Linked DNA regions of Pelodiscus sinensis. The protein of the gene in region 1 interacts with the protein of each later gene in a pairwise test. Links are inferred from orthologs where the notes say so. Each region holds a gene or a part of one and is shown in the gene's direction. Other genes may lie near its edges.

The links.
Region 2: the proteins of ARHGEF7 (region 1) and SH2D1A interact in binary tests that used the Homo sapiens proteins (3 or more experiments, as listed by UniProt). The link is inferred for Pelodiscus sinensis from reciprocal best matches to the Homo sapiens genes ARHGEF7 and SH2D1A.
Region 3: the proteins of ARHGEF7 (region 1) and GIT1 interact in binary tests that used the Homo sapiens proteins (3 or more experiments, as listed by UniProt). The link is inferred for Pelodiscus sinensis from reciprocal best matches to the Homo sapiens genes ARHGEF7 and GIT1.

Annotation. Positions count from the first base shown.
Region 1 is NC_134711.1:239,395,567-239,406,018, reverse strand, and holds the start of ARHGEF7 (rho guanine nucleotide exchange factor 7), read left to right. Parts: upstream 1-6,101; 5' UTR 6,102-6,322; coding exon 6,323-6,487; intron 6,488-10,452. UniProt on the Homo sapiens protein: Acts as a RAC1 guanine nucleotide exchange factor (GEF) and can induce membrane ruffling. Functions in cell migration, attachment and cell spreading. Promotes targeting of RAC1 to focal adhesions. May function as a positive regulator of apoptosis.
Region 2 is NC_134723.1:31,987,783-31,998,165, reverse strand, and holds the start of SH2D1A (SH2 domain-containing protein 1A), read left to right. Parts: upstream 1-6,558; 5' UTR 6,559-6,737; coding exon 6,738-6,874; intron 6,875-10,383.
Region 3 is NC_134731.1:2,289,039-2,298,971, reverse strand, and holds the start of GIT1 (ARF GTPase-activating protein GIT1), read left to right. Parts: upstream 1-5,336; 5' UTR 5,337-5,367; coding exon 5,368-5,686; intron 5,687-9,933. UniProt on the Homo sapiens protein: GTPase-activating protein for ADP ribosylation factor family members, including ARF1.

The DNA of each region.
Region 1 (10,452 bases):
TACCATAGCAGCTACTGCACCAGCTACCATAGTCAGGCTCCGAATCCATTACCTGAAGAGAAACTTCATCTTAGCAGGAGCAACAGCTGCAACAACTATCACCTGGATGTACCGTCCATTAACAGCAATCTTTATCTGCTCACAGAGCAGAAGGATCTTTGTAAGATGACTCAGAGGGCTTTTTAAGAAGGCTTTTGTGAGTCTAATTGGGTTTTTTTCTTACCATCTTGGAGTATATGGGTTTCAAGAAAAATAAAGCTGGATGCTTGTGGTGTCAGTAAGATCTTCTCATATCTATATAATAATTGCCTGATCAGCATTTGTTGGATGTTTAGTGTTAAGTATTTAATATTAAATGTTTAATTGATATATTATCACAGTTAATTGGTATATTGTTATAAGGCATCAGAATGTTAAATAAATGATTATATTCTTAGAATGTTACATGCTATAGACTGAGTTAAGTGAAAGTGTTATTGCGGTGTTGTTTCTGCCATTTTACTTCATTCCATTTTTCTGAAATCCCATTTTATCTATCTTTACTCTTTTACTATAAACACTTCTAAGTAAATATTATTTTGTTTACAAAGACTTTACAGTTTATTTGCCTATTCTTGATCAGAAGGATGAATCTGTGTCCTTAAAGGGAAAGTTAGCTAATGGTGGTTTTGCCTGGAATTTCCTTTAGGGTGGGTCACAATCTTGACTACCAGATTAGATACATGAAATGATAAAGGTTTTAAATAGAACAGTAGTGTTTTAGGCAAACTCATTGGTTCTGTATAGTTAACTCCGAATCTTCCAGTAACAGAATAAGAGATGATCCCTGGCCCAATGAGTTGACAATCTACATCTACAGGCAGTCCCCGGGTTACGTACAAGATAGGGACTGTAGGTTTGTTCTTAAGTTGAATCTGTATGTAAGTCGGAACTGGGTCCAAATTCAGCCGCTGCTGAAACTGATCAGTTTCAACAGCGGCTGAATCTGGACGCAAGTTCTGACTTACATACAGATTCAACTTAAGAACCCCAGGTATCCCCAAGTCAGCTGCTGCTGAAACTGATCAGCGGCTGATTCCAGGAAGCCCGGGGCAGGGGCTTCCTGTAGTCAGCCACTGGTCAGTTTCAGCAGCGGCTGACTTGGGGACGCCTGGGGCAGAGCAGCTGGGGTGCTGCTGGGTTGGTCCAGTAGCGCCGCCGCTCCTTGGCGTTACTGGACCAACTCAGCAGCACCCAAGCTGATCTGCCCCAGGCGTCCTGATTCAGCCGCTGCTGAAACTGACCAGCAGTGGCTGAATCAGGATGCCTGGGACAGAGCAGCTGGGGTGCTGCCGGGTTGGTCCAGTAGCGCCCAGAGCGGCGCTACAGGACCAACCGGCAGCGCCCCAGCTGCTGTACCGCAGGCGTCCGGAGCAAAGCCGCGGAGCACGGGGGCAGCGGGACAGCCCAGACGCGCTGTGGCTGTCCTGCTGCCCTCGGGCTCTGTGGCTTTGCTCCCCATCCCCCTGGTCTGCAGACCAGGGGGACGGGGAGCAAAGCAGAGCAAAGCCACGGAGCACGTGGGCAGCTGACAGCCCAGACGCGTCTGGGCTGTCCGCTGCCCGCGTGTTCCGCCGCTTTGCTTCCTCTCCCTGGTCTGCTGGAGACCAGGGAGAGGGAGGGCCCCATTTGTAACTGCGGATCCGACATAAGTCGGATCCGCGTAACTCGGGGACTGCCTGTACAAGACAGACACAGGGGAAAGAATAGATGAGAATGTGCAAATGAAATAAATGAGTGATGGTTTGTCAGTGTCATAGAACTAATAGAATATTTTAACATTTTAAACAATCTTTGGGTGGCTTTTTGTTTATTTTAGTCTTTATTTTTATTTGTATTAACTACATTATAGGGCAATGATAGGAGGGATTGGATGACTGGAAGATTAGCTAAAATGAAAAACATAAAAGGTGAGTGGAAAGAGGGAGGGAAAAACAGGAAGAAGCTGGAGGGCAAGATGGAGATGGGCATAGAAGGAGATCAGAAGCTGAAATGAAGACCATATGAGGATCTGCAGACCAGGGGGACGGGGAGCAAAGCAGAGCAAAGCCGCAGAGCATGTGCAAGAAAAACCCTCTTGAGCAATGCCGTTACACCTATTACTTTTCAGGAAGAACAGCATTGCGCAAGAGAGTTTTTCTTGCGCAAGAAGGGGCAGTGTAGACGCTCCTCCTTGCGCAAGAGGCTCTTCTGAAAAAAATGGTGGCTCATTAGGTATGCAAATGAGGCTCGGCGATATTCCACGCTTAGCCTCATTTGCATATTAATCGCGCAAGAAGCCTCGAGTGTAGACATAGCCTTTCTGTTTTATATGTTGTTGGAAACTATGCTCACAGGTTTTCCAGTTAGTTTGGCCATCTATACTATTTTCTGAACAATATCAAATATTCCAATATTCTTCTATTGCTTTTTTGTACAGATATATATTATTTAGTTGCTCTTAAATGGTCTGTTGAAGGAATAAGTAGAAAAGCAAAAGTGATATAAAATTGAATGCTAGCATACATTTTGGAAAAGTTATTAAGTGGATTGTGCCCATGAAAGCTAATGATACCATCTGCATTTTAGTTATTCTCTATGGTGCTGCAAGACTATTCGTTGTTTATTAAATCGCATGTTTGTCAGTTTAAGACAATCTCTAACTATAAAGGATTATGAGGAGATGTAACGCAGAGGGCAGACTATACAATATTTGCCTGCACTTCCCTCTGAAGCTGCTGCTGCTAGCTACTGTTAGAAACAGGATACTGGACTAGACAGACCTTCCGCAATTGCTATGTTTCCTGTGTGCATATAAAATGAGTTTAGCAGCAACATATAGCAAAGTGTGTTGGGCCACTAATGATGCAGCCAATCCTGCAATCACATGGACCTTTTCTAGGCTAGGAAAACAGATTGTTTTTTAAAATAAGTTAGCTACCAAACTTTGAACATAACTTTGCACCTTGTGTGGCCACTTCAATACTTTCAAAAATTTTGACCTTAAGTGCCTTAATAGGGTCTTGTCTAGACAAGGCTTTAAGCACATGGATAATTTCAGTCACAGAAGTAGTTTAAGGGTACGTTTAGACAGCTGGGCCATTTTGGGATACCTGAAATAGCTATTCTGCATCATTTAAATGCACCCGTTATTTTGAAATATTTTTCAAAATAATAGGCATGCTATTTCAGTATCCCTGTAAACTTTGTTCCACGAGGGTTAAGGAATGTGTCAAAATAGTGCATTGTTTTGAAATTTGGCGCTGTATAGAAATAATTAGAAATAATTTCAAAATACAATTGAAATAAGATAGGCAATTTGCGTAGCACAACCTAACTGACATAAATGGGACAAAGCAACAAATACATTATAAACCACTTTGCACAAGTTCATTTGCAAAATATTTGTAAGCACTTTACACTGGCTTAGCAACAACTACCATAAATTATAATTGTGGAAAGTCACAGAAAGAAAATCAGTGAACCATATGGCAGACTGTAGACATGATGCCTGGAAATGAACACAGCCAGGGAAGCCAGCACTTCAGTCACTGAACATTGTTTTAATAATTGGCTCATTGCTCATATAAACTGCAAGCAAATGAATAAAATATCCAAATGGGATCAGTTGGACCATGGATATGCTGCCAATGTTCCTAGAAGGAATTCTCATTAAAATGTCCTCCTTTAGCCTTGATAAAACCCATATTTCTGAGATGAGAGTACTTGCAGATAGGACAATGAGGATCTGATGAAACTATACACTTTTTCTCCTGTTTAAACAAAAACAATTTGACCAAAAAAAATTTGACCAAGACAAGTGTATTTTGCTGTTCCTTTGTTCTTGCAAAAATACAAACTAAATTATATATTACTAGAAGATTTACCTGGTGTTGCTTGGGTCCTTAACTCAGTTAATTTTTGTTTTGCTTCATTTAAATCATTGCTCTGGTGTGGGGCTGGGAATGAGAGGTTCAGTGTGCTGGCTGCCCCAGGGATAGAGGACAATCCCAATCCTCTCTCACTACAGCAGCTTGGAGTCAAGTGAGAAATGCTTCTCCATGGCTGCTGCAGTTCCAGTGGGCATAGCTAAGGGAAGGTCACATGTCCCCTGGCTGGGACAGGTCTAGGTTTGTCTGCCCCCTACACTCCCCAGCCAGAGTGAGGAATGCAGCAAAATATGCACTTTCCCCTTGCTCCTTGGCGAATGGGAACAGCCAGCAATGTCTCTGTACAAATTGGGGCAGGAAGAGCTGCAGCTTCCTCTGCCCTCCCTAAAGGCATCTGGGAGGGGTGGGAGGCTTGGGGCTGACCCAGATGGGGGGCGGGTGCACCCCCAGCCATCCCCTTTCACCTGCCTAGTGATTCTGCCTCTTTTCTGTATGGTTTTGTGTGTCCCTGTATGAATCAGTGGGGAGCGTCACCCTTCCCCATCCACACACCCAAACCCTGACCTTGTTTTAAGGTATGATAATAGGAAGCTGTATACCAAATTTGGTGGTCCTAACTCTTATTGTTTAGGAGTTCTTTTTATGCATCCCTGTATGAATGGGGGGGGGGGATTCAGCCCCTCTGCCCCCGCAGAACCAAACTCGTACCTTACTTTAAGTTTAAGTTATGAAAAGAGGAAGCTACATCACAAATTTGGTGGTCCTAGCTCTTACTGTTCAGGAGGAGTTGAACAGACGGATGGACAGACAGATTGCAGAAAGACAAACTTTCTTAAATATATAGTAGATATAAACTGTTTTACAGTACACTATTAAATTTGTGTAATTTGAAATAGGGAGCTGAGTGCAGTTTTGCGGGAAGTTTAGGAGCATTCTGCCCTGGTAATTTTTACAACTCTGTAGCTACAATTTGGTACATTTCAAAGAAAAAAAATCTACTCAAGAATATTTTTGTGAAAACAGTTATCTCTGTAAAGGTGTTTAGAATGGGTCAGCATTATCAAAAGTAGAGAAAGCAACTCAATCCTCTTTTATTTTGGTAGTAGAGTTTCAATACCTGACTTGCTCCTGCCAATTCTGCTCCTTCAAAAAACGGCAGTTTTCTTGTTGGAAGTCTATTAAGGTATTGCACTGGGTTTCTTTTCCTTCTGGTATCTGTATGGCTCCAGAAGTCAAATGTAATAGCAGTAAAACACTTTGACTAGGAAATATCAAATTATACAAAATCGTTATTTATAAATCTGTTCTCTTTTATATGGTGCGTTCATTGATTGCAATGAAGTGTCATAAACCAACCCTACACTAGAGGGCACATAAAACAAATTGTTTGTTTAATGTTAGATCCTTGTTAATGCTACCAAGGTCAAGCACAATACAGAGCAGACCTATTCCTGGCAGATTTTATGAGTCCACTCTGCACTGTTTAGGATCCATCGTGTTACATAGGGAATTAAAATGTTCACTCAGCACTGTTGGCTTGCCGGGCAGTAAAAGAGAATATGGCACACACTTATTTTTAATGCCACAAAATCCTGAAGGATGCCACGATTTGCCAGATCAAATATCCACGTTGCCTCGAGGTGAATAACGCCTATATAAATGTTACCAGTGTTAGCCACCATGTATATGGGGGAGGATTTAAATAGTGTCTCAGGCAGCATCTAAATCTCACCATGGATACTGGCTATGTGTATAAATATGTGCACGGTTTGCCAATGTGTGCATGGCAACACCCATCCCCATGCAATATGTGTGACTCTATCAGACACAAACACATCCCCCCCCACACACACATTGTTCCTGTTACCTAAGCAGGGTTCATTTGTGCACTAGCTCAAACGTTCCCATTTGTATCCGGGGTGCAGAGGCGGGAGGGTGCGATCGCCACAGAGGTGCCAGCGCTCGGCGCGGGTTGCAAAGGAGGCCGGTGCCCGCAGCAGCTGCGCCCTCCACGAGCCGCAGGTCTGTGTGCCGGGCAAGGGCCCCGCGTCTTTTCTTCCCCGCCGGCTGTCAGTGATGTCATGCGGAGGCGGCAGCCGGCGCTGAGGGCGGAGGAGGGGGAGGCGCTGCAGGTTCATGTGTGTGCAATGAAAAGGCAGTTGACAAGCTGCCAAAGCGCACGAGAGGGAGAGGAACCGGACCCGCTGGCTTTCGCAGAGCCAGGCGTCATCTGCAGCAGCTCCATGGCGCGGGAGGCGGCGGCGGCCCCGGCCTCTGCTGCTTCCATGTGAAACCCCCAGCAAAGGGGTGGGGGCGCTGGGGGGGCACCGTCCAAATCCAGCCTCCTCCGGCGCGCGATTGCTTCCTCCCCCCCCCCCCCCCAGCCGCAACGCCTGGCCGCGGCGGCAGCAGCCATGAACTCCGCGGAGCAGACCGTTACATGGCTGATCACCTTGGGCGTGCTGGAGTCGCCCAAAAAGACCATCTCGGACCCCGAGGGGTTTTTGCAATCGTCGCTGAAGGACGGGGTGGTGCTGTGCAGGCTGCTGGACCGCCTGCTCCCGGGCACCATCGATAAAGTAAGTGCACGTTCCTCGGCCCCTTCGCCCCACCCGGGCCCCTTGCGGCGGGAGCAGCCTGGGCGTGTGTTTGGCTCCGAGCTCACCCCCCCCCCCTCCAAGCCCTCTAGCAGCCAGGCTCCCGCACCCAAATAATGCCCCGCAGCGGGTCATGCATCCGCCCTGCAGGGTGTCAAATGCAGCCAGGCGCCAGTGCAACCGCCCCATGTGCAGGAGGAGCCTCTGGCGCTAAGCGCCTCTGCTGTGTAGGGAGGAAAGGGGGCGCCGCGGCGGGGAGAGCGGCGCTTGCTGCGCGCAGCCACAGGGGCTGCACCCGGGAGACGCGTCCCCGCCCGGGTCCCCCCGCGCTGCTTCCCAGCCACGACCAGGCCGGGCAGCGAGCCGCTCCGGGATGAGATGCGCGCACTTTCCTTTGTGCACCGGGCCCCCTCACCCCACCCCTGGAAGCACAGACCGCGGCACGGGCGGCGGGGGGTGCCCCACGTCAGGGAGGCCAAGCCCCATCTCCGCCCCTTCCGCCCGCGCCCCACCCCCACGGGCGGAGCCCCCAGAGCCCCTCCAGCCTCCCGGGGGAGCCTCGGGCCCGCCCCCCACCTGCCCGGGGCAGCTGAGGGTGGTGCGCGCGGTGGCAGAAGCTGCGCGGCACATCCCGCTTCTCAGCCGCATGGCGCCCCGCACAGCAACAGCCTGCCCCCAAACCCGGGCTGCGGGGCCCGCGGCCGCTCCCGGGGCCTCTCCCGGGGCAGCGGCAAAGGGAGCGGGGCGGCCTTTCCCCTGGGCCAGCGGTCGCCAGCCGCGCGGCAGCTTCCTCCAGCGGGCAGCACCGCAAAGGCGCCATTGCCGGGGGACGGAGGAAGGGGCGCAGGCGGGCATAGACTTTCCCGCAGGGCTGGACTCAGGAGGTCACTTAAAAGGGCAGGGAGCCGGGCTAAGGCAGAGCTGCCCCCCCTCCTGCGCGGGAGGAAAGGGGGAGACTGCCCGGTGAACAGGAATTCAGCTGATTGAATACGACTGTGATGTGTTAGATTCTGTACTGGTCTATTAAAAATGGCCAGATGAAAACAATTTCCCAATCAGATGTCTTCCTGCAGGAACCACGTGACGAAATCTTATTTAGGAAATTATTAAGTGTATTACAATGAGTCTTTACAAGAACCGAGGGCACTTCATAACCAATAAGGGTGACAGTGGGGTGTGTACACCCTCACACCCCTCACCTTTATTGGTTATGAAGTGCCCCAAGTGCTTGTAAAGACAGAGTCCTTGCCCCAAGGAATTTACATTCAAAAGCCATGATTTGGTTTCTGTGGGTACACTGAATGGAGAGGTTCTGTGCAGTCATTGTTGATCCACCCCAGTGCAGGATTGGGGCCTAAACAAAGGTGATGATAAGCAGGGAGAGTGGGCCAGACAACAAGCAGTGTAGTGTGCTCAAATGGTGACCTGTGTATATAGGTTTTTGGGGAGAGGAGTTTTTTTCAATTTTTGTGAGATTCTTTTATAGGGGAGAAAATGTCTCTCAATATTAAAATCCTAGCTGTATGTGAAAGAGAAATGTATACAGAATTAGATGTATTTATATCTGTCTTACTTTAGGACATTCCAAAACCAGTCCATATAACTACTGGAATATTAAAAATGTTTCCAACAGCATAGGATGCAATGTGACTGGGTCTCAGTAAACAGTAGAGGAATGTTTTTAAACACTAGAAATAGTTTTCATGTAGACTGTTTGCTTTTCTATTACTCAGGCCTTTTATTGTTCACCTATCATTCAGAACAGTCTACTTTTTTTTAAACTGACATGGCATTACAGTTTTATTTTGTGTTATGTGAAAAATACAAACATAAGATGTGAAATAACTTTTATGTACCATGTACACTTATATACATGTAACCCTTTTTCCAGGTAGTGCCACTAGCATCCAGGGCTAGGTTCAATATGTGGGGGTTCCTCTCCATCCATCTAACACAGAACTGGCTAAAGCCCCCAACCCGTAAGATGGGAAATTCAAACAACACCCTTGGGTACTTTTGAGAGGCAGTGCTTCCCCATTGCAAGCACAGAGTCTGAGTGCAGAAAAGAAACCTTTAATATAACCTTTAATAGAGGAAAGGGAAGTAATGTGGTATTAATTTGTGAAAACACCACAAACAGGGTTCATAATCAAAACCATGAGTAACAGTCCCACCCCAAGTAGATTGGACAATGTCCTTTTCCTCTCAGGTTCTTAGGCCCAGCAATGTAAATGTCCCCTCCACATACCCAGCCCTTTTCTGCACCCCATTCACAGTTGCTGCCCTTGGTCAGGGCAGACCCGGAGTTCAGAGGTGCATCCTCAGAGTTCACCTCCTATCCTGAGAGGGGTGGAGGTAAAGAGGCATCTTACTCCACTGGTCACTCACCATCCACCTGCTCGCTGCTGTCTGGCACTGCTCTGCTGGCCATTCTTCGCCCCTTGCTGCCGCTGCTCTGCTGGCTGCTCATTATGCCTCTCCATGGCCGCCCTGCTGGCTGCTCATCGTGTTGCTGCTGCTCATGGCATCTTCCACTGGCTTGTGGTGGATTTGACTCTGGGCCAAACCTAGTGATTTCAGCTCTTGGCCCAAAGCACAGTCCAGCCACAAGAGATTCCAGCATTTGCTGGAGTAGATTTAAATACTAAAAGAGACTTCTTATGAAGCCTTTCTGTAGCTCTATCATTGAAACAGAGGGGAGAAACAGGATGCACCAGACTCACAGCTCGCACCTGGAGGGTATGTAGCCTGCTGACTCAGAGTTGCCCTCCACAGCTTAATCTTACAAGGCTCTGGGATTGGGGCTTCTATCCATCCAAGTTTATTTACACCAGTGGTTCTCAAACTTTTGGCCCATGACCCATCTGGATCTATGCAAGCCTTTCTAGGGACCACCAGTTGCTAATGGAAAGTCACTGTTAATTACGCCCAAGCTATTTTGTTGTTGCTGCAGCTAGGAAGAACAGTTTAACCAGTAAAAAAGGAAATACTAACTTATTAAACAGATCAAGTACTTTAACTCAATTTAGTTTATCAAACTTCATTTTAAATACAGTAAAATATTAATTTATGTCCAATACAAAAGGTTCCCATGTTTTCTTTATTGTTGGCAGGGGTGGGGACCTTTTATTGGATCTGGGGCCATTGACCCACAAAAAAAAAATCTGCTGGAGCACACAAGCGAGTAGCAAAAAAACTCCACCAAAACTCCACAACCCTCACTGTTGTACCCGCCAACTGATACTCCTCACTCCTCTGGCATTCCAGCCCCAGGGGGCAAGAGAGGACTGAGATTCAGGGCTTTCCATGGGCTGGTTTTACTCTTGTGGGGTTTCAGGGTTAGTGGATTTTGTGGACCTCCCAGGCTCTGAGGTTCAGTGTGGGACAAAGCTGCCAGTGAGTGGGATAAGGGTGAGGGTGTGGGATCTGAGTAGGAGGTGGGGTGCGTGAGGGTGCAAGGTCAGGGCAAAGCAAGGGAGGGTGCAGGGGCAGGCTGGGGGAAGGTTATCAGGCCAGGGCAGGTTGCAGGAATAGGTTGGGGCTCGGGGTCTCAGCAGGGGGTGATGCAGGAGCAGGGTAGGGGTGCAGGATCTGGGCATGAAGGGGCGGCAGGGGCACTTACTTGCTTTCACACCCCACACTGGTCACAGGCATCGTGTCACAGGCACAGCTTCCTGTTGCTCCCATTGGCTGGATTCCAGCTAGTAGGAGCAGTGGGGAAAGCCTTCAATCAGTGCGCTGCTGTTTCCTCAGCTGGGGGAGGGGGAAGGGAAGTTCGGAGGAAGGGGGCCAACTGAGCTTGAGCCGCAGACCACCTGGAAGGCAGCTGTCCACGGACCACAGTTTGAGAACCACTGATTTACACTGACAGTGTCTCTTTGGGTATGTCTACACTACCACCCTAGTTCGAGCTAGGGTGGTAGTGTAGACATACCCCTTCTTCTTTG
Region 2 (10,383 bases), on another chromosome or scaffold:
TGAGATACTGAGGAAGTTTTCTTCAGCCTGGATGTTGTAAGAGCCACCCTAGTGCCTTCTACACAGCCCCCCCCTCCGCCCCCCGACTCCTCCACTGAGCATGATCAGTGTGCCCCTGTGCCAGAAGGGTCCCTGGAGACTATGGGCAGCCCATTCAACTTGAAGCAGCCCTAACTCAAAGATAGGCCTGGGGACTTGCCTTGTACCAAACTTCCCTCCGTCAGGATAGCAACAGTGGCTTGACATTCACCTTTGCCCCTCCCCAGTCAACCCCCTTTGTAGAAAGAGTCGGTGTGGAAGTCATTGATTTTTGTGTGAGTGTGTTTTTGTCTTGCAGGTATAAAAGTGCGATGTTTGCAACAATTTTCTTTCCGTTTTTGGTAATAAATATTGCATGCTCACACATCAAACCAGATCAAACAACTTGCAACCCTATGGATCTGTTTCTAAGAACGCTCTTCATGCTCAAAAAGTGCAAAGATTTCCTGCAAACACTTCAGTGAAATCCTAAACGTGGTCAAATGACATTTACAGTGCTGAAGCATTCTCATTTTGTTTTTATCTTCCCACTTACCATGCAGAGTTCTTCTGATATCACCCATTAAAAGTGAAAATGGGTCAAGAAAGAGGAAAGTTAGATAAAATCCCCCAAACAACTTTAGAATGAAGGAAGTGTGAAAAAAAAAACTACGCTACATAAGCTTTATGTGGGAAAGGTGCTTAGCTTAATGCTTGTCGCCATGCACACAGCCATATTTCGAGTGCATGAAGCTCTATTTTGTTATGCAAATAGTTTCATGACTGATTTATAAAAACAGTAAACAGTGAAACTGAATCCCAACACTTTCCTACATGGGGTAGTGAACACCTTGCCATCCTAACTGGATTAGAAAGCAGCGATGGGCAACCTAGGTTAATGGATGGGCCACATGAGTGGACCCCCTTCATCTCAGTGGGCCACAAGACTGTCGTAACCGAGATGGTCTCCTGGAATAGGGTAGTTTTGCCAACTGTGCTTGGGTACCTAGCATTTGCCGGTGTGCTAATTGAACTGTAGCAGCATTTTGATTGGCTGCAGAGGGAGCACCCGGCTCTCACAGTCAATGTTGTGTGCAATCAGCATGCACCTCACGTCACGTGCCCTGGCTTAATGTGAGTGTCACTTTAGTAATGCCAGTAGGAAAAAACCTCCATGGACAGAAACCAGTGGAATCAGGAAACCCTGCGCCTGGGCAGCATTAAACAAAATGTCTTGTGGGCCATATACGGTCCATGGGCCACAGACTGGCCACCACTGTTATACAGCTGGGCTGTGTCTAGACTGACACGATTTTCCGCAAATACTTTTAACTGAAAAATTTTCTGTTAAAGGCATTTGCAGAAAAGCATCCGTGCCAATCTAGACGCACTTTTGTGCAAAAAAGCCCCGATCGCCATTTTAGCCATCGTGGCTTTTTTGAGGAAAACAGTACTGTGCTGTCTACACTGGCCCTCTTGCACAAATGATTTGCACAAGAGGGCTTTTGCCCGAACGGGAGCAGCATGGTATTTCCACAAGAAGCACTGATTTCTTACAGGAGGAAGTCAGTGTTCTTGCGGAAATTCAAGTGGCCAGTGTAGACAGCTGGCAAGTTTTTCTGCAAAAGCAGCTGCTTTTGTGGAAAAACTTGCCAGTCTAGACACAGCCCTGTTGTAGATACTGCTGGTGACATTTTCAGGCTCTATCCAGCTCAGATTTGCCTGAGGAATTGCTAAGCCCCTGAGCATAAGCAGCTTCACATCTCCTTCTGCCTTGATGCCCTGACTCAGGCTGTGGCTATAGCTAGGGCTGAAGTAATGCAAGGACATCAGGGGCTGCAGGCTAAGGGGGGGCCCTGCAAAAATAAATTATGATGGGTGGGGAACCTCTAGCTCGCAGGCCAGATATAGCTCCCTGCTTAATTTCATCTGGCCCATGGCAAGGCTCTGCCCTGATCCTGAGTTCCTTCCTGCCGGGCTGGAGCTGTGAGTCCTGGCTTGCGATGATCAGGGAAGCTCAGGAGCTGCCCAAGGTAAGCGACTTGCACCCCTAATCTCCTGCCTTAGCCCTGAGCCCCCTCCCTCACTCAAAAGCCTTCCCAGAGCCTGCACCCCCTCCCTGATCCCACTCCAGCACCCTAACTCCTACCCACACTCCACATACCCACCTCCACCCTGATCTCCTGCCCTGCGCTTCCTCCTGAAGGCCTCCACCTGGAGCCCTCTCCTGCATCCAAACCCTCCTCTTCAAAGCCCCCCCCCCAGTTGGAGTCCTCACCTCCTTCTGTATCCCGATCCTCTGCCCCAATCTGGATCCCTGTGTCTCACACTGAATCCTTCATTTTTGGCCCCAGCCCAGAGCTTAGGGGACGCTCCAAACCTTCACACGGCTGCATGTGGTGATTTTATTTTAAATTAGAAAAGAGACTTGTAGACAGAGACCCCACAAAATCTGATAGCCCCAGACCCCCAGGAGCGTTAAATTGACCCTGGTTTTACCTAGGGCAATAGACATGGAAGATGGAGTCTGAGGATTCCATGTTACTAGAGGTACATACTGCTCAGAAAGTCCTAATTCCTCCTCCCCCCCCGCCCCGCCTCCTGATTCTCTCTCTATGGCTGGCCTCTATCTGTAGAACAGGGTGTGCCAAACACCAACTAGCTGCCTGTGAATTTTGGGTCCAAATGCAGCTGTTGTGGTCTGGGCCTATCTCTAGCCTTGACCATTGTGACTGATTGCACTGAAGCAGGGCAGTGAGGAATCAGGTCTCCAGTTCCTGACCCAATAGGTCTAGTATCTGACCAAAGTAGAATGCGCCATTGCCGTGTGCTAGGTATGTTGCTCATGCTCATGCGAAGAACTACCTAAGGGACCAGAGGGGGATGCACCAGGTAGCACTGAACAGCTATACTTGTTCAATGACTTTAGCCCTGACTGCCTCAAAGCACAGGTAGAAGCTGCTTATGCTCAGTAATGCTGATGAAGGAATACAAGGCACTCCCAGGTATTGACATGTAGGGTGCAATTTTTTCCATATGCAGAAATTTGTCCATACCTGAAAAAGTCTTAAGTGTGTGTCTGGGGGGTGGAGGGGCTGGGAGGTGGGGGTGTAAATGTTTAGCCTTTTAGCAAACAGGCAACTAGACGATTTGACCAGGTACAGTACTAGTGATTTCAGACAGCAAACAACCCTAGGAACCTGTGTCAGCCCATAGGAGCAGAAGGAAATTGATTTTTTCATTCAAGTTGGGCATATGTGTCTGAGTTTTTTTTCTATCCTTTGTTTTACCTGCTTCTCTACAGCACCGCAAAGTCTGCTCTGCTAATAGTGTCAGGAAGGATGTGTGAGAACTCACAGCATCTGACAACATTACATCAGCACTGCGTGAAGTTTACAGCTCCAAGAAGCCAGAAAGGACAATGTTGTTTTTGAACAGCTGAAGGAAAAATGTTTCCAAATGTCAAATGCAGTTTCTAACATATACTGCGCTGATTTCTATGAGCTTAATCTACCCAAGTGTTAGGAATAGTGTATCATCTGCTTTGAAGTGGAAATAATTAGCCCCTCTGACATTAAGCACATTCACATACCATGCAACTACATGAAAATAATCACCTCCACTATCTAAGCACAATGGGTTGAGATAAGGTATTTTCAGCTGTAACACATGCTTGGTTTCCATGGGTTTAAAGTGACCTCTGGTACTCTTCTTGGGTTTGATCCTGCAAGGTGCTGAGTGCCATCAAGCTACCAAAACCGAGCATGGCTGTTAAGGAAGAAAGTACTCAGCTTCTCATAGGCACTCACTTTAAAAGTGGCATTTGCTGAATCACATTAATTCTGAAAGGAAGGAAGAAAGAAAAGGAGATGAAGCTGCATACTGTTGCTGAAATGACCTAGAGGTGGGTGCCACTAATGAAAACATTTTCACTAACATTTTTGAAAACATGGTGCCTCCTGATTGTGCACCCCAATTATCAGTAATGAATAAGGATGACAAATAGGCTAGTTCCTTCCCTGCCATTCATAGAATCATAGAATACTGGGACTGGTAGGGACCTCGAGAGGTCATGGAGTCCAGTCCCCTGCCCTCATGGCAGGACCCAGTACTATCTAGACCATCCCTGATAGACATTTATCTAACCTGCTCTTAAATATCTCCAGAAATTGAGATTCCACAACCTCTCTCGGCAATTTATTCCAATGTTTAACCACCCTGACAGGAAGTTTTTCCTAATGTTCAACCTAAACCTCCCTTGCTGCAGTTTAAGCCCATTGCTTCTTGTTCTATCGTCAGAGGCCAGGACGAACAATTTTTCTCCCTTCTCCTTGTGGCACCCTTTTAGATACCCGAAAATTGCTATCATGTCCCCTCTCAATCTTCTCTTTTCCAAACTAAACAAGCCCAGTTCTTTCACCCTTCCTTCATAGGTCATGTTCTCTAGACCTTTAATCATTCTTGTTGCTCTTCTCTGGACCTTCTCCAATTTCTCCACATCTTTCTTGAAATGCGGTGCCCAGTACTGGACACAATACTACAACTGAGGCCTAATCAGTGCAGAGTAGAGCGGAAGAATGACTTGTGTCTTGCTCACAACACACCTGTTAATGCATCCCAGAATCATGTTAGGTTCTTTTACAACAGCGTCACACTGTTGACTCATATTTAGTTTGTGGTCCACTATAACCCCTAGATCCCTTTCTGCAGTACTCTATCCTAGACAGTTGCTTCCCATTCTGTATATGTGAAACTGATTGTTCCTTACTAAGTGGAGCACTTTGCATTTGTCCTTATTAAACTTCATCCTGTTTACCTCAAATCATTTCTCCAATTTGTCCAGGTCATTTTGAATTATGACCCTGTGCTCCAAAGCAGTTGCAACCCCTCCCAGCTTGGTATCATCTGCAAACTTAATAAGCGTACTCTCTATGTGGATATTTAAATAGTCGATAAAGATATTGAACAGAACTGATCTCAAAACAGACCCCTGTGGAACCCCACTTGTTATACCTTTCCAGCAGGATTGTGAACCATTGATAACTACTCTTTGAGAATGGTTATCCAGACAGTTATGCACCTACCTTATAGCAGCCCCATCTAAGTTGTATTTGCTTAGATTATTGATAAGAATATCATGTGAGACCGTATCAAATGCCTTACTAAAGTCTACATATACCACGTCCACCACTTCTCCTTTATCCACAAGACTCGCTATCCTATCAAAGAAAGCTATCAGATTGGTTTGACGTGATTTGTTCTTTACAAGTCCATGCTGGCTGTTCCCTATTACCTTATTATCTTCCAAGTGTTTGCAGATGATTTCCTTAATTACTTGCTCCATTATCTTTCCTGGCACTGAAGTTAAACTAACTGGTCTGTAGTTTCCTGGGTTGTTCTTATTTCCCTTTTAATAGATGGGTACTATCTTATCGCCACTTCTTGTGCCCATCACAATAGTGTCCTGCTCCCAGCTAATTTTTATTTATTATACAGGGACACCTATTGAGGCTCGCAGCTGATGCATTAATGACTTCAAACAGCAAACACACTTACTGAGACATGAGCCCAACTTCTGAGCTGCTCCATACAGAAGGGGCCAGACTAGCTGCAAGCCACCTTTGCTCATCCTGACTTCTGGGTCTGGGTGGGGATATGCTTGGCCCAGGGCTTTGAATGGCCTCCTATGAGCTGCTATATAGTCCCTGAGAGCTGGAGTGTGGCTTGCTCTGGTCATACCCATTTCCTTCCAGATACATCTGCCCCATATGTTCCTATGCCTAGCACTGCATGGAGGGGGTACACAGGGCCATTCTGCTAATACCGTGTCACCCAGAGAACCACGCTATGCTGGGCGTATTCCCAATGGGGTCACTTGAACTACCAATATCTGCTGTCACTGTCTTTGTGGCGGTCGAGCAGCAATAAAGGGACCATGAAAACCTGAAGTTACTCACCCGAGAGGCATTAGTGACTGACAGATTTGGAGTGGGTTTAAGAATCAGGTAATTTGCTTTGGCTCTTACAGGGACATGCCAGTCGGTCAGCTCGGCCCTGTGGAAATGCATGTGTGTTCGTGTGATTCTCTTTCACTTTGTTACTCATTTTGTTTTACCCTCTTTACCTTTAAAGTCTTTGCTACCACGTGCAAAACATACAATGGCCTTTGGTTCCAGATTGCCTCACCTTGCCCATTTGATAACACATCTGTGTGCTTGTGCCAGGGAGCCCTAGCGTAGATAATTGAGGACAGGTCTAACCCTCGCTTTTTCGAGCCTTCCAACATTTTAAGCCCTTAAAAGACAAACACTGTACTGAAAACACTAACTCTTAACAGACGTGGTACTTTGACTGTCGCTCTTAGTCTAACCATAGCTTGTGCTTTCAGGGTTGTGGTGAGGAAAGCGTTGCTTTTTGCTAGGGAGCTGGTATGCTTCATGTACCTGTTATTCACATGTCTTTTGAATGCTCTGAGTCACAAGAATGCTATCAAATGGCACATCTGCCTTATAGGTGATAGCAGCACCTACAGCTCTGACTGTCGGTATGAGAAGTCTTTAGAAGAGCTGGAGGTGGGAACACATCCTGTTTATACCAACCAGTGAGTGAGCAGCTGGATAGCAGGCGGGTGACTGCAGCGAGCTGTGTAACAGTCACTAACCCCAATCACCTCTCTCTAGCTGGGTCGTATCAGGCTCTGCTTGGTTCAACTACAGAAAATGGATTCTCTGAACGTTTATCATGGGAGCATCAGCCGGGAGACGGGGGAGAAGCTCCTGCTGGCTACGGGGATGGATGGCAGCTATTTACTGCGAGACAGTGAGAGCATCCCAGGAGTATATTGCCTGTGTGTGCTGTGAGTACAGAAAGTCAAGGGAATCCAGGGTCTGCAACAACACCCCTTACCTGATGTCTGTTTAATTGTCGGGGAGTCAAAGCTGCCACCTAGAATGCAGCTGCAAGAGGGTTTTATGGGTCTCAGCTCCATTTAATGAAGTATCATGAGCATGGAGACCTTCCAGTGGGCAGCCCATTTGGTGATCCTGTGGCTTTCCTCGACCTCCAGCCTCTGGCTTCGCAGCATGAGTTCTGCCTTGCATTACATTTGACAGTTAGAAGGGTCATCTTGTGGCAGAATGCGCAAACATTTCTGTGTGTACAAAACCTTGTGGGGACTTCGCTTTGCATCGCCGACTTCAGGCTCGGGGTTCTCGGGCCTTCTCAGAGAAAGGATAGGCGAGTTCAGGTTCCTGCCCTGGGCTGCTTAATCTTAAATGGGACACAGAACAGTGAGCAAAGGCAAATCTATCTCAATGATGGGGTGGAGAGAAGGAAAGAGGAATGAGGCTATAACAGCGTAAGCCATGCACTTTAGATGGTATACTGCACGTGCTTCTTGCTCCTTTGGCTTTGCCTGTTGCCTGTCTTCCTCTTTACTACACTGAATAGCAGGACAGCCCAAACCTTCCTTTCCCCAGGGGGCTCGTAGGGAGGAATATTGATGCTTTATTGAAAGTGAGAGCTTGCCAACTCTTCAGGGTCTGATTTTGTCTGCCTTAGTAAAGGGGAATATATCCCTGCGCGCTGGGAGTATTGCTGCTGATTTCTGAACGTGTCAAGCAGAGCTAGATAATAAAGAAAATGGTGACAATGTATCAGGATGATAGAGTTGGGGCAGAAGGAGGAATTCCTATGAGGTGTCTGTCATAGGTCACCCACTTGGCGAGAAGGCACTGATGAGTCGCTTCTGAAATGGAGATGAGCTGACAAAGGGCTTAATATTTATGGGGGGTTGGAATGACAGAAGTGTGAGTTCTATTAGCGAAGGGCGAAAAATCCAGAGTATTAGCTTTGAGCAGGCACGCTGAAGTGCTATGCCACTAAAAGAACAAAGAAATGGCCAACAGGTCTGTACCGAGAGCTACTTTAAGCAATGAAAGAGGGAAAAGGGATATTAAAAGGATATGCTAATATCAGCAAGAAATTACCAAGACAAGATCAATGATTATTATTAACTAAAAGAGATAAAAGAAAAATAAAGCAGGCTTTTTTTCCATAAAGAAAGGATAAGATAATAAATATATTAGTACATAAGAACGGCCATACTGGGTCAGACCAAAGGTCCAGTCTAGCCAGGTATCCTGTCTTCTGACAGTGGCCAATGCCTGATGCCCCAGAGGGAGTGCACAAAACAGGGAATCATCAAGCAATCTCTCTCCTGTCACCAATTTCCAGCCCCTGACAAACAGAGGTTAGGAACACCATTTCTACCCATACTGGCTAATAAGTATTGATGGGCCTTCTTTTTTTTGAACCCTGTTAAAGTCCTTGTCTTCACAACATCTTCTGGCAAGAAGTTCCACAGATTGACTGTGCAGTGCATGAACGTTTGTTTCAAACCTGCTACCTATTAATTCATTTGATGACCTGTAGTTCTTATGTTATGGGAACAAGTAAATAATTTTCCCTTATTCACGTTCTCCATACCTGTCATTATTTTATGGACCTCTATCATATCCTCTCTTAGTCTCTTCTTTTCTAAGTTGAAAAGTCCCAGTCTTTTAAATCTCACTTCATAAGGCACCCGTTCCAAACCCCTAATCATTTTTGTTACCTTTTTCTGAACCTTTTCCAATGCCAATATATCTTTTTTGAGATGAGGTGAGTCAGGCGACCACATCTGTACATAGTATTCAAGATGTGGGTGAACATAGATTTATATAGAGGCAATAAGATATTCTCTGTCTTATTCTCTATCCCTTTTTTAATGATTCAATTTAAAATAATATCTATATCATACTTTCCAACAAAGGTATGAATGTTCTCATTGACATCACTTGGTTTTAGCCTTGAATTTTAAACTGTGCATATTATTATTATTTCACATAAGGGCAAAGTGAGGTGTAGAGCCACATAAGAAGTGTCCCAGGCTGACATGAAAAGGTTGTAGTCGAACTGTAAACACAATCCAGTTCCATTTTTATACATCTATTGTTGTGCCTTAATCACAAAGAATTGTCCTGTCTTTCCCTAGTAAATGAGAATTAAAAATAAACATTAAATAATTCCAAATTGGCGGACACTTCTAATATCTGCTTTACTTCAGCCTTTAACAAGACAACCAAATTTAAGGGATTAAGAAGAAGTGTACTGAGTTAAACGCTAATGCAGATTTGAGGTAGATAGATATGAAAAGCAGTGATACATCTCTAGTAAAAGGAACCAGCTAATAAATAATGAGTCCAAGCGTTCTTAAAGAACTATCAGAGGAAATGGGGAAACAGCTACTTATCATTTGTAGAGTGATCCAGAAGAGGTGAGTGGTAGCAGGTAATTGGAGCGTCATGAACAATTTTATCCAGCTTTATGAAAAATAGAGCAGGATTCCAGGAAATCAGACTAGCTGGCCTACATTCATTACTTAACTTATAACAAGGACATGGAACTGCAATTAATCAGTAAAAATTTCTGGTGATATTAAAGGCAGTTTGTTTATATGAATGTGAGGAAGGTCAGGTTTTAAAGAGCAGATTAGGACAGTTAAATAAGATGCTCATAGGTCTGAAGACAAATGGGCATGCAATCAATAATAAAACAGCTTCCTAACTGTGCCTGGAAAATGTGCAAAGTGGAAATAAATGTTTGCATTTAGGGATACATTTGAATGAACAAAGGATGAGATAACAAATTACTTACCTGAAAACCATAGAGAGTAAAGTGTTTGTAATCCAGACTATAAGTGCTTAGGAAAAGTTTTTACACCTTTTAGTGGAGATCTATAATTGAGTGGCTAGAACAACATTGTACAGAGAACTAGGATTTGACATGGATGGAAATCTGGTGGCAGAATCACAGAGATGAGCGGTAGGTTCAGGACTGTTCAGTACAGTATTTCAATAATGAGTGTGGTGCAAGAAGTAGATTGTACAATAATTAGCATCTCAGATGATAAACTAGGAGACAATGAGTTGATGATTTCAGAGTGATCTGGCAATGTGATGGTAATTTAGATACGTGTATGAAATAGTCTACTATAGCAGGCAAAAAATGTAAGCTAGCTGAGCAACACCACAGCAAAGAGGAGAGATAGCAGCCAATAAGTCATAGTTGGTTGTAGATGCTTGCCGTGGTAAGGAAGAACAAATCTTATACTGGCAAGTATCCAGGGAGATAGCACACATAGGACTGGAGTGACAACTGTACAGGTTATGGAGCCTTGACAAAACCAAAAAGAGATGTGTGTAGAAATTGGGCTTTATCACTGCAAAAACAAAACAAAAACCCAACCCCCCGCCCCAAACCATTAGTAAACCATAGAATGTATTTCTGAATTAAATTCTGGGGGTGTGATCTTGACTTCATACC
Region 3 (9,933 bases), on another chromosome or scaffold:
CCCTCCCCCAGGTCCTGGCTATCACCCCGTGCCCAGGTCCTGGCTGCAGGCCCAGTGCCCCACAGTTGTGGCCCCAGCCCTGCCCCTTCTGCTCCCAGCTCCAGCTCTGGGGGTAGTGGGGGGACTGGCTTTCAGCACTCCTGCCCCACTGTTCAAAGTGCTCCAGCCAGGACAGAGGGTGACTCACTCCGCAACCACCCTCTTCCGTCCCTTCCCTCTGCAAAATCTGGCAGCGGCCAAAGAGCTGTCCGCAGAATTGCTGGGCTCATGGGCAAATCCAGGGGCCCCACATGGGGCGGGGCCTCATGCAGAGGGGGCGGGGCCTCATGCAGAGGGGGCGGGGCCTCATGCAGAGGGGGCGGGGCTGGGGTAGCCTTCCCCCAGCCACTTCGGTGCTGCCGGCCAGGGCAATTTAGCGGAGCAGGGCTCTGGCGGCAGCCGCGAGGTGACAGCCCGGAGCCCTGGACCTTTTGGCCCCTCCCTCCGGCCTGGCCGGGCGGCGGGTCTGCGCCGTCGGGCTGTTCGTCAGACACGGCCCAGCGGGCCGGCGAGTGCCCCATGTGGCGTAGTGGGGGGGGGCTGTCTGCTCTGTGACCCGGGTCCCCCGCGCTGGGCCGCGATTCCCACGGACTCCCCCACACGGGGACTGGCCCAGACACCCAGGCCCAGCCTGGGCAGGGAACAAGGCTCTTCCCGGGGGAGACAAAGGGAGGGAGGGAGACGGCCACCGGGTGGGGGGCAGGGCCGGGAGCTGGGCAGCTTTTGGCTGGGAAACATGAAGAGAGGAGACTAAGCAGAGCGCTGGGCGTTCGGGGGCCTGTGGACCCCACCCCAAGGGGTCTGAGGCATCCTGGCCCTGACTCCGGTACCCACATCCCGTCTGGGCTGGATCCTGGGCAAGCAATAAACCCCCCTGTTCTACTGGCTGCGGAGTCTCGTCTTGCTGCGGACGGGGTGCAGGATCGGGGATGCCCGACACCCGCGCGACGGGATCCCACCCCAACCTGCACACGCGCCCGGTGCCACTCAGGGGCCTCCAGAGACCGGCAGGAGGGGATGGGACACGGGCGGGGCAGAGAGAGGCCATGCCTAGGGTGCAGTACAGGGTATATGACACACTTCCCCGCTTCCCCTTCCATTCCCCTGTGCTTGGCATGCCCGTCCCACTCTGCCTCCGCCCCCCGCCAGCCCCTGCAGCCACAGGCCACACACGCTCGGCCCCAGCAGGAGCGGGGATTACCAGGGGCGTCCTTCCGGACCCAGCCCTCTCCAGGCCTGTTTTCCTCCCCAGCGCGCCAGCTCTCCAGGGCCGGGGCAGCCGCTTGCGACGTGCCGGCTGAGCCCAGCGCCATGGTGGAGGGGGGGTTGCTCGAGGAGCCGCAACAAAGCGGCATTCAGCTCCGAGGAGCAGCCCCCGCACGCCCAGCTGGGGCTGGCATTTCTCGGCCCAGCGTGTGTGGCTCTGCATTGTTCAGCAGCGGCCATGCTCCAGCCCAGTGGCAGGCGACGTGGCAGGCGACGTGGCGTCGTGCATGCCCACGCGCGGGGGGGTCAGAGAGACACGCGTCACACTTGGAGTGCTGCTAGCGTGCCCTGGCGGATTGTCTTCCCCTCGGCCCCTGGGCTACAGCCCCATCCTTCGCCATGGCGATGGGATAACGGGCACGCTGACAGCGTGTCACGCCCTTGCCCCGCCCCCTGCCCTCGGGGGTGCCCTGCGCCCCTGGCTGGGGCTTAGAACGGTTCACACTTTGAGTGTGCGCCCAAAGGTTCACTAGTGTGAGTTCCGTGTGCGGGGTTTCCGGAGCCACTTTGATCCCGGAGCTAGCTCAGGCCACAGAGCAGCTCTTCCAGGCCTGTGGGCCTCCAAGCAGCAGCTGAGCAGGGAGCTAAACCTGTAGCGGCGTCAGTCCCCACTCCACGGAGCCCAACACGGTAGACCCGGCAGGAGGAGAAGTGACATGCCCAAGGTTACCACGCAGGGCAGTGGCAAAGCTGGGCGTGGCCCGCAGTCATCCTGACACCCAGCCTGGTGCCCTGGTCCCTGGCCCATTGTCTCCAGACCAGGTGTCTAGGCTGTGCTGTTGCTCGCTGGGCCAGCTGTGAACAAGCCTTTATCGCAGCCACATCCCCAGGGCAGCGTTGGAGCGCCCTGCCCAGTCATCTCCCACCCGGCGTGGGCCGGCACCTAAAAGAGCAACCCCCTGTCTACGGGCATGGGCACTTAAGCACCCAGGCCCGGCTGTGAGCAGCCCAGGGCCAGGAGGCAGCCACAGGGGTGTGGACGCCCCCAGAGCAGAGCCGACCAGAGATCGTTTCCCCTGCAGCGTGGCAAGGGCCCAGCTGGCGAGGGCGTGGGCTGCTCAGGCAGGGCAGGGTGCGTGCCACCCCAGGGCGCCGGCACTAGCAACCCCTCCCCGCCCGGGCATAGACATTGGCTAGTGCTAGGGAGGGGTTGTACCTGCCACAGGTCCCCTGCTGCCGGCCCCTGCCCTCCGCCCAGGCGAGTCGGCACGTGCGGGGCACAGGGCTGGGGGCAGACAGGGCCTTTGCCTTCCCAGCGGTGGCTGCGGGGGGGTGAGGCTGGTGAAGGGGACGCAAGCGCGAGGAGGGGGGAGAACCCCCGGGGGGTATTTGCTGGGCTGCCAATGGAGCGGGGCTACCGGGGGCTTGCGTCCTGTCCTGCCAGCCCCGCCCCCCGGCAGAAGTGCTCAGCGCCAGCCTGGCCAGTGGGCTCCAGGGTGCCCAGCGCCTCGGCAAAGCCGGCCCTGGGGCAGCGGTGCCCGTCCGGACGTGCATCCCGCCTTCCCAGGCCTCAGGATCCTGCCCTCCCCCCCGCGGGTTTCACGGGCGCCGAGAGAGTCCAGGGCCAGGCCTGCCCTTCCTCGCCTAGTGCTGCATTGCTGGCCTCCGGGCCTGGCCCCTGTAACTGGGGGAAGCCGGCGCCCTGGGGCGAGGTTCCACTCTTCTCGGGGAGCAACGCCCTGGGACGACGGCTGGCTGGGCGGCTCCCCCACGTCCCTCTGCTCCCAAAGGGTGGGGGTGATTGGGAGAAAGCTAGTGGGCTGCGCCCAGGGGCCTGGCTCTGTAGGGTTGCCAGGTGTCCGGTTTGCCCCATCCAGTAAAAAACCAGAAAACATTGGACATGTGAAATGTCCGGTATTTCCGATTTCCCTCGGATGGAAGCCTGCTGCATCTGCATTTTCCCCTGCTGCATCTGGCAGGTGTGGGGAAGTGAGGAGCTCAGCGCCATTTAAAGGCACAGTGCCTTTTTTTTTTTTTCTTTTTGCTCAACAGAATTTTTTCCCGTTTGTTTTTTTTTGGAGGGTGTTCGGTATTTTTGTTAAACCATCTGGCAACCCTATGGCTCTGCGGCCTGGAGGACGGTGCTCCAGAAGCAGGGACGCCCGGTCACGTGCTCCTTCTTGTGGAGCGTGGCCTGGACCGTAGCTCAGCGTGTCCTTGCCGGAGGGAGGGGGTGGCCCTTCTGACACATGCCGGGGAGGGCGCCCGCAAACTGATCCAGCGATTTCCCCAGCGGAGCCAGCGATCCTCGGTGACATCAGACCTGTCTCCACAGCAACCGGCAGCGGCCTCACCCTCGCGGGTGCAAGGGGCAGCTGGGCTGGGAAGAGCTGGGGGGCCAGGCGGGGGAGGGGAACGCAGGATGCGGCTGCTCCCACAGCTCAGGGGCAGGCCAGGGCCCAGGCGGGCTTCCAGGCTTTGGTTAGCCCTGAGGCGCTCACGGCCCCTCCCCGGCTCTTTGGGGTTCCCAGGCACGCCAGAGGCATTTTGTCTTTTTTCCCAATCCCCCCTCCAGAGCTGCATCCTGCACCCCAGCTCTGTGGCCCAACCCTGTCTCAGTGCAGAGCAGACCCGGGGGCGGAGCGAGCTGGGTCTGCACCACGGCTCCTGCCCAGCAGGGCCGGGCCCAGCGCCAGGCGCGGTGGCTTGGTGCCCGTGGGTGTCTCTGGACAGCAGTGCTTCGGCCCAGGGCTGGGCAGGTGCTCTCCATGCAAGAGGCCAGCTGGGCGGGGGAGGCTTTTCCCCGCCGATCGGCGCACAGAGGCTGAGCGTGAGTGTGGGCATGGGCACAGACAGCACCTGTGGCCGCAGAACCACCAACCATGCCCACGTTGGGCCCAAGCAGCACCTGGGTTCCCCACCAAGGTTCCTGGATCAGAGCGGGGCGGTGGAGCTATTGCAGCCGCCGGTGGGAGGAGGGCCGGGATGGGCAGAGGGACTCAGCCCCGTAGCTCCCAGCTTGCCCTGGGTTTCTCCCTCCTCCGCTGTCACAGCTGGGGTGCAGGCTAGGGATGTTAAATATCGGTTAACGGAATAGTCGAGTAACCTCGTGCATTTTTATCGGTTAGTCGACTATTCTCTAGTCCCGGGGGTGGGGCTGGCAGCCAGTGTATCAGAGGCAGCATGGGGTGCCAGGCTGGAGCTGGTCCACAAGGGGAGCCAGTTTAAAAAGCAGCCCCTGTCCAAGGGGGATCTGAGCTCTTGGACCTGGTGCGAGTCGGAACTGAGTGGGGCTGCCTGTCCGCCCGCCTGGCTCCTGATACACTTTAAAAGCAGAGCCGCCGCAGGGGCAGGTTCTAGACCTGGCATGAGCCGGGCTGCTGGCCAGCCTGCTAAATCCTTTCCTGGCAAGGGGAGGGGAGGGGAATACGTGTGGTCTGTAACACTGACCTGTGAGCTTTCGCTTATCGGTTAATGGACGGTTACATCCCTAGTCCCGGCCTGCGGGCGGGCGGGCGGCTCTTGAGCAGAACTGGCCCTGGGCGTGCGGGGCCGGGCCTGGAGAGCAGGTGGAAACGTGCAGCAGAGACGTGGGTCGGTCCCCCAGGCATATGGGGGCGGGGAGCAGAGTGGTGAGGGGCTGCCAGCGGACGCGCTGAGCGGGCTGTCTGAGAGGACGGGCCTGGCGGGTGGAAAGGGGCAGGGGACGCAGGGACCACACCAGAGAGTGGCGCTGAAGTCCCCGCTGGCCCTGGGGGGGGATCTGCAGTGTCGCCCCACAGAGGGGTGTAATGGCTGAGATGGTGGCAGCTTTCCCCATGCATGGGGGGCAATGGGGGAGAGACCTTGCGAGGGGAGCCAGCTGGCAGCCCCCCCCCCCCGAAATCCTGCAAAAGTGGGCGGAGCCGACCCGAGCCAAGGCCCCGCCTCCTCCTGCAGGGGCGCAGAGCCAGGGACAACAAATGGCCAATGGGGTGGGGGGGTTGCAGGTGTGAAACCAATAAAGCGGAGCGGCCCCGAGGTGGGAACCCCGGGCAGCCCCAGGCAGGGCCCCAGCGTGCAGACGGGGGGCCAGGGCGCAAGGCAGGGGCGCGGCGCAGACGAGCGCCCCCGGCTGCCCGCATGGAGCAGGGACCGGAGCCCGCGCCCCCCTGCTGCGCGCCGCCCCTGCGCGCTGGAGCTGCGCTGCGCCCCCGTGCGCCCGCCGCTCCATTTCCTCCGGCAGGCCGGGCCCGGGGGGGGCGGGGAGCCTGCGCCCAACCCCTCCCTGCGCAGGGGCCGGGCTTGCGCCGCTTCCTGCAGGAGCGCGGAGCCGTGGGAGCGGCGCGAGCCCCGCACGGCCCGGCCCGGCCCGGCCCCGAGCTGGCCCGCAAGGCCGCGCCGCGCAGGATGTCCCGGAAGGTGCCGCGCAGCGAGGTGTGCGCGGACTGCAGCGCCCCAGGTGAGCGCCCGGCCTGCGGCTCCGGCCGGCCAGTGCCAGGCCCCGCGGCTGCGCTGTGCGCGGGGACCCCGGCCCTCCCCAGGCTCGGCCCCCCCCGCGCCCCGGTGCGTAGAGCGGGGGCCCTTCCTGCCGGGGATGGAGCCCGCGTGGGCTTGGCGGGGATGCAGAGAGCCCGGTGCCCGGGGGGGGAATCTCGCTGCGCCCCTGCCAGCTGGGCACGGGCTGGGCACGCGCCCCTGGCACGGCGCCGTGGCGCATGGTGGCGGTGGGAGCCCTCGCACCGCCCGGGCGCCTCTCCCCTGCCCCCCAGCAGCCCCACCCGCCGTGCCCCCCAGCCCAGGCTCTGCTGCCCAGGTGCCAACCCCGGCGACTCCCTAGGCCAAGTGCTCTTGTTTCCCAAAGCCCAGGGTGCCCCCCAGCCCTGGCCGGGAGCCGTGCCAGTCGGGCACGAAGGGTTCCCCGGCAGGGGTCTGGTTGGGTGCCGTGGGCAGGGGCAGCCGGGGCGAGAGGGTGCGTCCGCTGGGGCGTTGAGTAGGCAGATCGCGGGGCTGGAATGGGGGCCCGGTGCCCGGATGAACATGGTCTGTGGGAGCTGGGCGTGGCCCTGGTGTGGTGCCCCCGTGTGTCACACCGAGCCCAGCCTGGCGTGACGGGGTCCCTCGCTGTGGGACTGGGAGCCGGCTCCTCCATCCATAGCCACATGAGGAAATGAGCCTGAAAATCCAGCGGGGCTGTTTCCGGCTGGGGGTGTGCGCCAGCCTGGCCTCGGGCTGGGCAAGAGCTGGGAGCGCGGTCACGCTGGGGTGTTCCCAGCCTGCTGAGAGCCCAGCACATCTGTGGCCCCAATCCAGTTCCCTGTGGTAGCCACCCCCTGGGGCTGGGCAGGAGCCCTGGCCTGCCCCCTCTGCTACTCTCTGGACGTGCCTGGCATGGGCTGGCCTGGGGCACATGCCAGCGAGGGGTACTGGGGGCTCCCAAGCAGGTGCCCTGCAGGGCCCAGGGCTGAGCAGCGGTGAGGTGGGAAGAGGGCACCCCCTGCTGGCGTGCCCAGGAGAGGGCCTTGCTGTCCGGGCATGGGCGGGCACCGGGAGCCAGCTATAGCCGTGCCATGTTTCCAGCTGCTCAGGGTGGGATCGGGGCCACAAGGCCGTCCTGCGCACCCGGTGGCTTCTGAGATCCTACTGCTACGAGAGGGAAGGGAAGGGCAGGCTGGCACCGGGGGTGGGGTCGCTCCGGCTGCCCCTGCCCTGTGCCCTTCGGCACCTGGGGATGCCTGCAGCCGGGGGGTGGGCGGTGCGTTCTGTTCCTGCCGGCGGCTGTGCGCACACAGCACAGACACAGCCCGTCTCCCTGCCAAGGCCGCCTGTGCCTGAGCCATCTGCGCGCCTGCGAGGTGCCCACGCGCATCCTTCAGGGCCTGGGGGTGGGGCACGCGCGCTTCCTCCCCACCCGCACCGTGGGGCAGAGCGGAGACGAGCCAGGGGGTGGCATGCTTGGGGCCAGCTCCCCTTCCCAGTCGTGCACCCCGGTGCCAGCCAGGAGGGGCTCCTGCGCCGGGGGGAGCCAGGCTGCCTGCCCCTCCACCAGTGGCGAGCTCTGCAGTGCCCTGCAGACAGGCTGGGGAGCTGTTTGGGGGCTGGAAACCCGGGCGCTTTACCGGCGCTGTGCCCTGGGCAGGGGGCTCCTCTGTAGCGAGCCGGGACAGGCCTGTGTCTGAAGGAGGCCTCCGTGCCCTTTTCAGGTAGCTCTGGGACACCCCCCCTCCCCGGCTCTAACCTGGCCACTGGCCCCTCCCCGCTCCCAGAGCCACATGGGACTGGAGGGTGCCCCCGTGCGGGGAGTCAGCACAGCGCTGCTGCACAGGTCCCTGGGCCAGGCGCTCTTGAGCAGCCAGGAAGGAAGCGTGGGGCGGGCCGGCTCCATCCGCAGCAGCCCGGCTTCCTCTGCAGGGATAACGGGAACTGGGCTGTGGGGCCGGTGCCAGGGCTGGGGGGGGTCGTGCTCATGCCCCCCACCTCCTGGCATTCAGCTGCGGGGAGGCCGGGGGCCCCGGCACTGCTTGCGTGCTGGCTGGTGCATGGGGAAGGGGTAACTCCTTGGGGCAGGGCTGTGGCAGGCGCTGGAGCTGGGCCTGCTCCCCCATCAAACCTGCTTCCCTCAGCTGGGCGCCGGGCTCCGGCTGCTGCAGAGGCTTTGTCCGGGCCTAGTCAGGCCTGTCCTGGCGGCCCCTTCCCAAACCTCCCTCTGCCCGGCTAGGGCCCGGTGCCAGCGCTGGGCGCTGGCCAGGTCGCTGGGCTGGGCCCATGTGGGGCAGAGCTCAGGGCTCCGGCCCAGCGGCGGGGGGCCTGCACACGGTCCCTGTGGCTTGGACCCCAGGGCCCAGCTCATCAGGTTGGGAGCCCAGCTGGGAGCTGGGGCTGCTGCCCCCCTGCCTCCGCCCACCCGGCGCCAGCTGCAAGGGGCGCACGGTGGCAGGCTGAGCTCGTGGCGGCTGGGGCTGAGGAGGGGCAGGGCGTGTGGGCAGGGCAAGCCGCGGCGTGGGGGCTGGGCTCTGTCCCTGGGGCTGCCCGCGCTGGGCTCCGTGCCCTGCTCGGGTGAGACCCCTGGGTGGTGCTTGGGCGGGTGCTGCCCGCAGCTTGTGGCTGTGGCCTGGGAGCAGCGCGAGGCAGAGGCAGGCCCGGGGCCTCCCTGTGAGCAGAGCTGCGGCCAGGGCCTGTGCCCTGTACGTCCGCCCCCGGCAGCATCCTGCCTCCATCTCGGTCCCCGGCCGGCGGCGTGTGCAGGGTGCCGCTGGGGCTGCAGGAACCCTCCTCGTGCTCAGCCCCCCAGCCTGGCCAGGCCCGGCCCAGCCCCCCTTGGCTCTGCTGACGGGGGTGGTTAAACTGCAAACCGCGTGTGCTGCAGGCTATGGGGGGGAGCCCAGCATTGGGCTGGCAGGGGCAGCGGATTGGCACTGAGGGTGGGGCTGGGGTTGAGTGGTGGGGCTGTGGGGCGGGGCTGGGATAGAGGAGCCGTGGGGTGGGACTGGGGGACAGGGTTGGGATAACGGGGCCACGGGGCAGAGCTGGGGCAGGTGCCGGCACAGCGAGGGGCCACGGGGCCCCTGGCACTGAGCAGGGCAGGCCCTGGGGGAGCCGTGGCTGGCGGGGGTGGCACTGGCTCCAGCATGAAGCGCTTGTTCTCCCCGGCCCCGCTCAGAGCGACGTGGCTCCCCCCCCCCCCCCGGATCCACCCTCTAGTGCTGCTCGGCGCCCTGCTCTGCTCCCAGCTGCACATGGGGGGCAGCGGGAGGTGCTGGGCGCTGACCCCGCTGCAGGGACCCCGGCTCCCGGTGGCTGAGGGGGCGGCCGGCGCTGCTGCTGCTGGCTGCCCGGAGCCGGGCTGGGCACAGCAAGGCCGAGCTGCCTGGGGGGCAATGGAAAAGTCTCCTCCCCGGGGGGGGGGCAGCAGAGCTGGGCGTGGAGGAGGCAGGTCAGAGGCACCGTGGGGTCGGCCAAGTGCCCAGGAGCCCCGGCTGGGTGCCAGGCTCTGTGTGACCAGAAAAGAGAAACCAGGGAGCTGCGGGCTGGGAGTGGGGGGCCTTTGTGTGCCCCCCCCAGAGGTACAGGAGGACCCGGCTGTGGGGCTGGATCTGTGCCCCCCCGGCCTGGCTAAGCGGGGCAGAGCACCGTGCCGTGGGCTGTGAGGCTGCGCCCCTGGCGAGGGCCGTGTGCCCCTCCGGGCGGGGGCGAGCAGCGAGCTCGGAGCCACTGGGCATCTCAAGCGGCCCTTTGTTCTCCGCGGGGCCAGACGAAGGGCTCCATCCCGGCGGGCAGGGGGAGGGGCCGGGGCTCCCGGGGGGGGGGGAGTGGCACAGGGAGGCTCTGGGGTGAGGCAGTGGGGCTGTCTGCCTCGGGAGGGGGCAGTGGCGCGGCCCTGGGGGGCAGGCTGCTCCCTCGGTGACTGCCCTGGCTCCCCTCCCGCTGTCTGCCCCCGGAAGTGGGGGTCGGTGGGCACTAGGCCGACCGGCTCGGCCGCCAGGCGCTGGGTGACCCGGAGTGTCCCGTCCAGGGGTTGGGCCCAGCCTGGTGCTGCGTGCGCCGGACCCCCGGGAATGCTGCTGCTGGCAGGCCCTGGCGGAGCCCTCCAGGGCGCGGAGGGAGGCGTGCCTGTCCCTTCGCGGGGGCAGCGGTCTGAGCACAGGGCTGGGAGCTGCCCCTCCTGCAGCTGCTGAGGCCTCCCCTGGCCGTGCCACCCTGCTCCTGGGC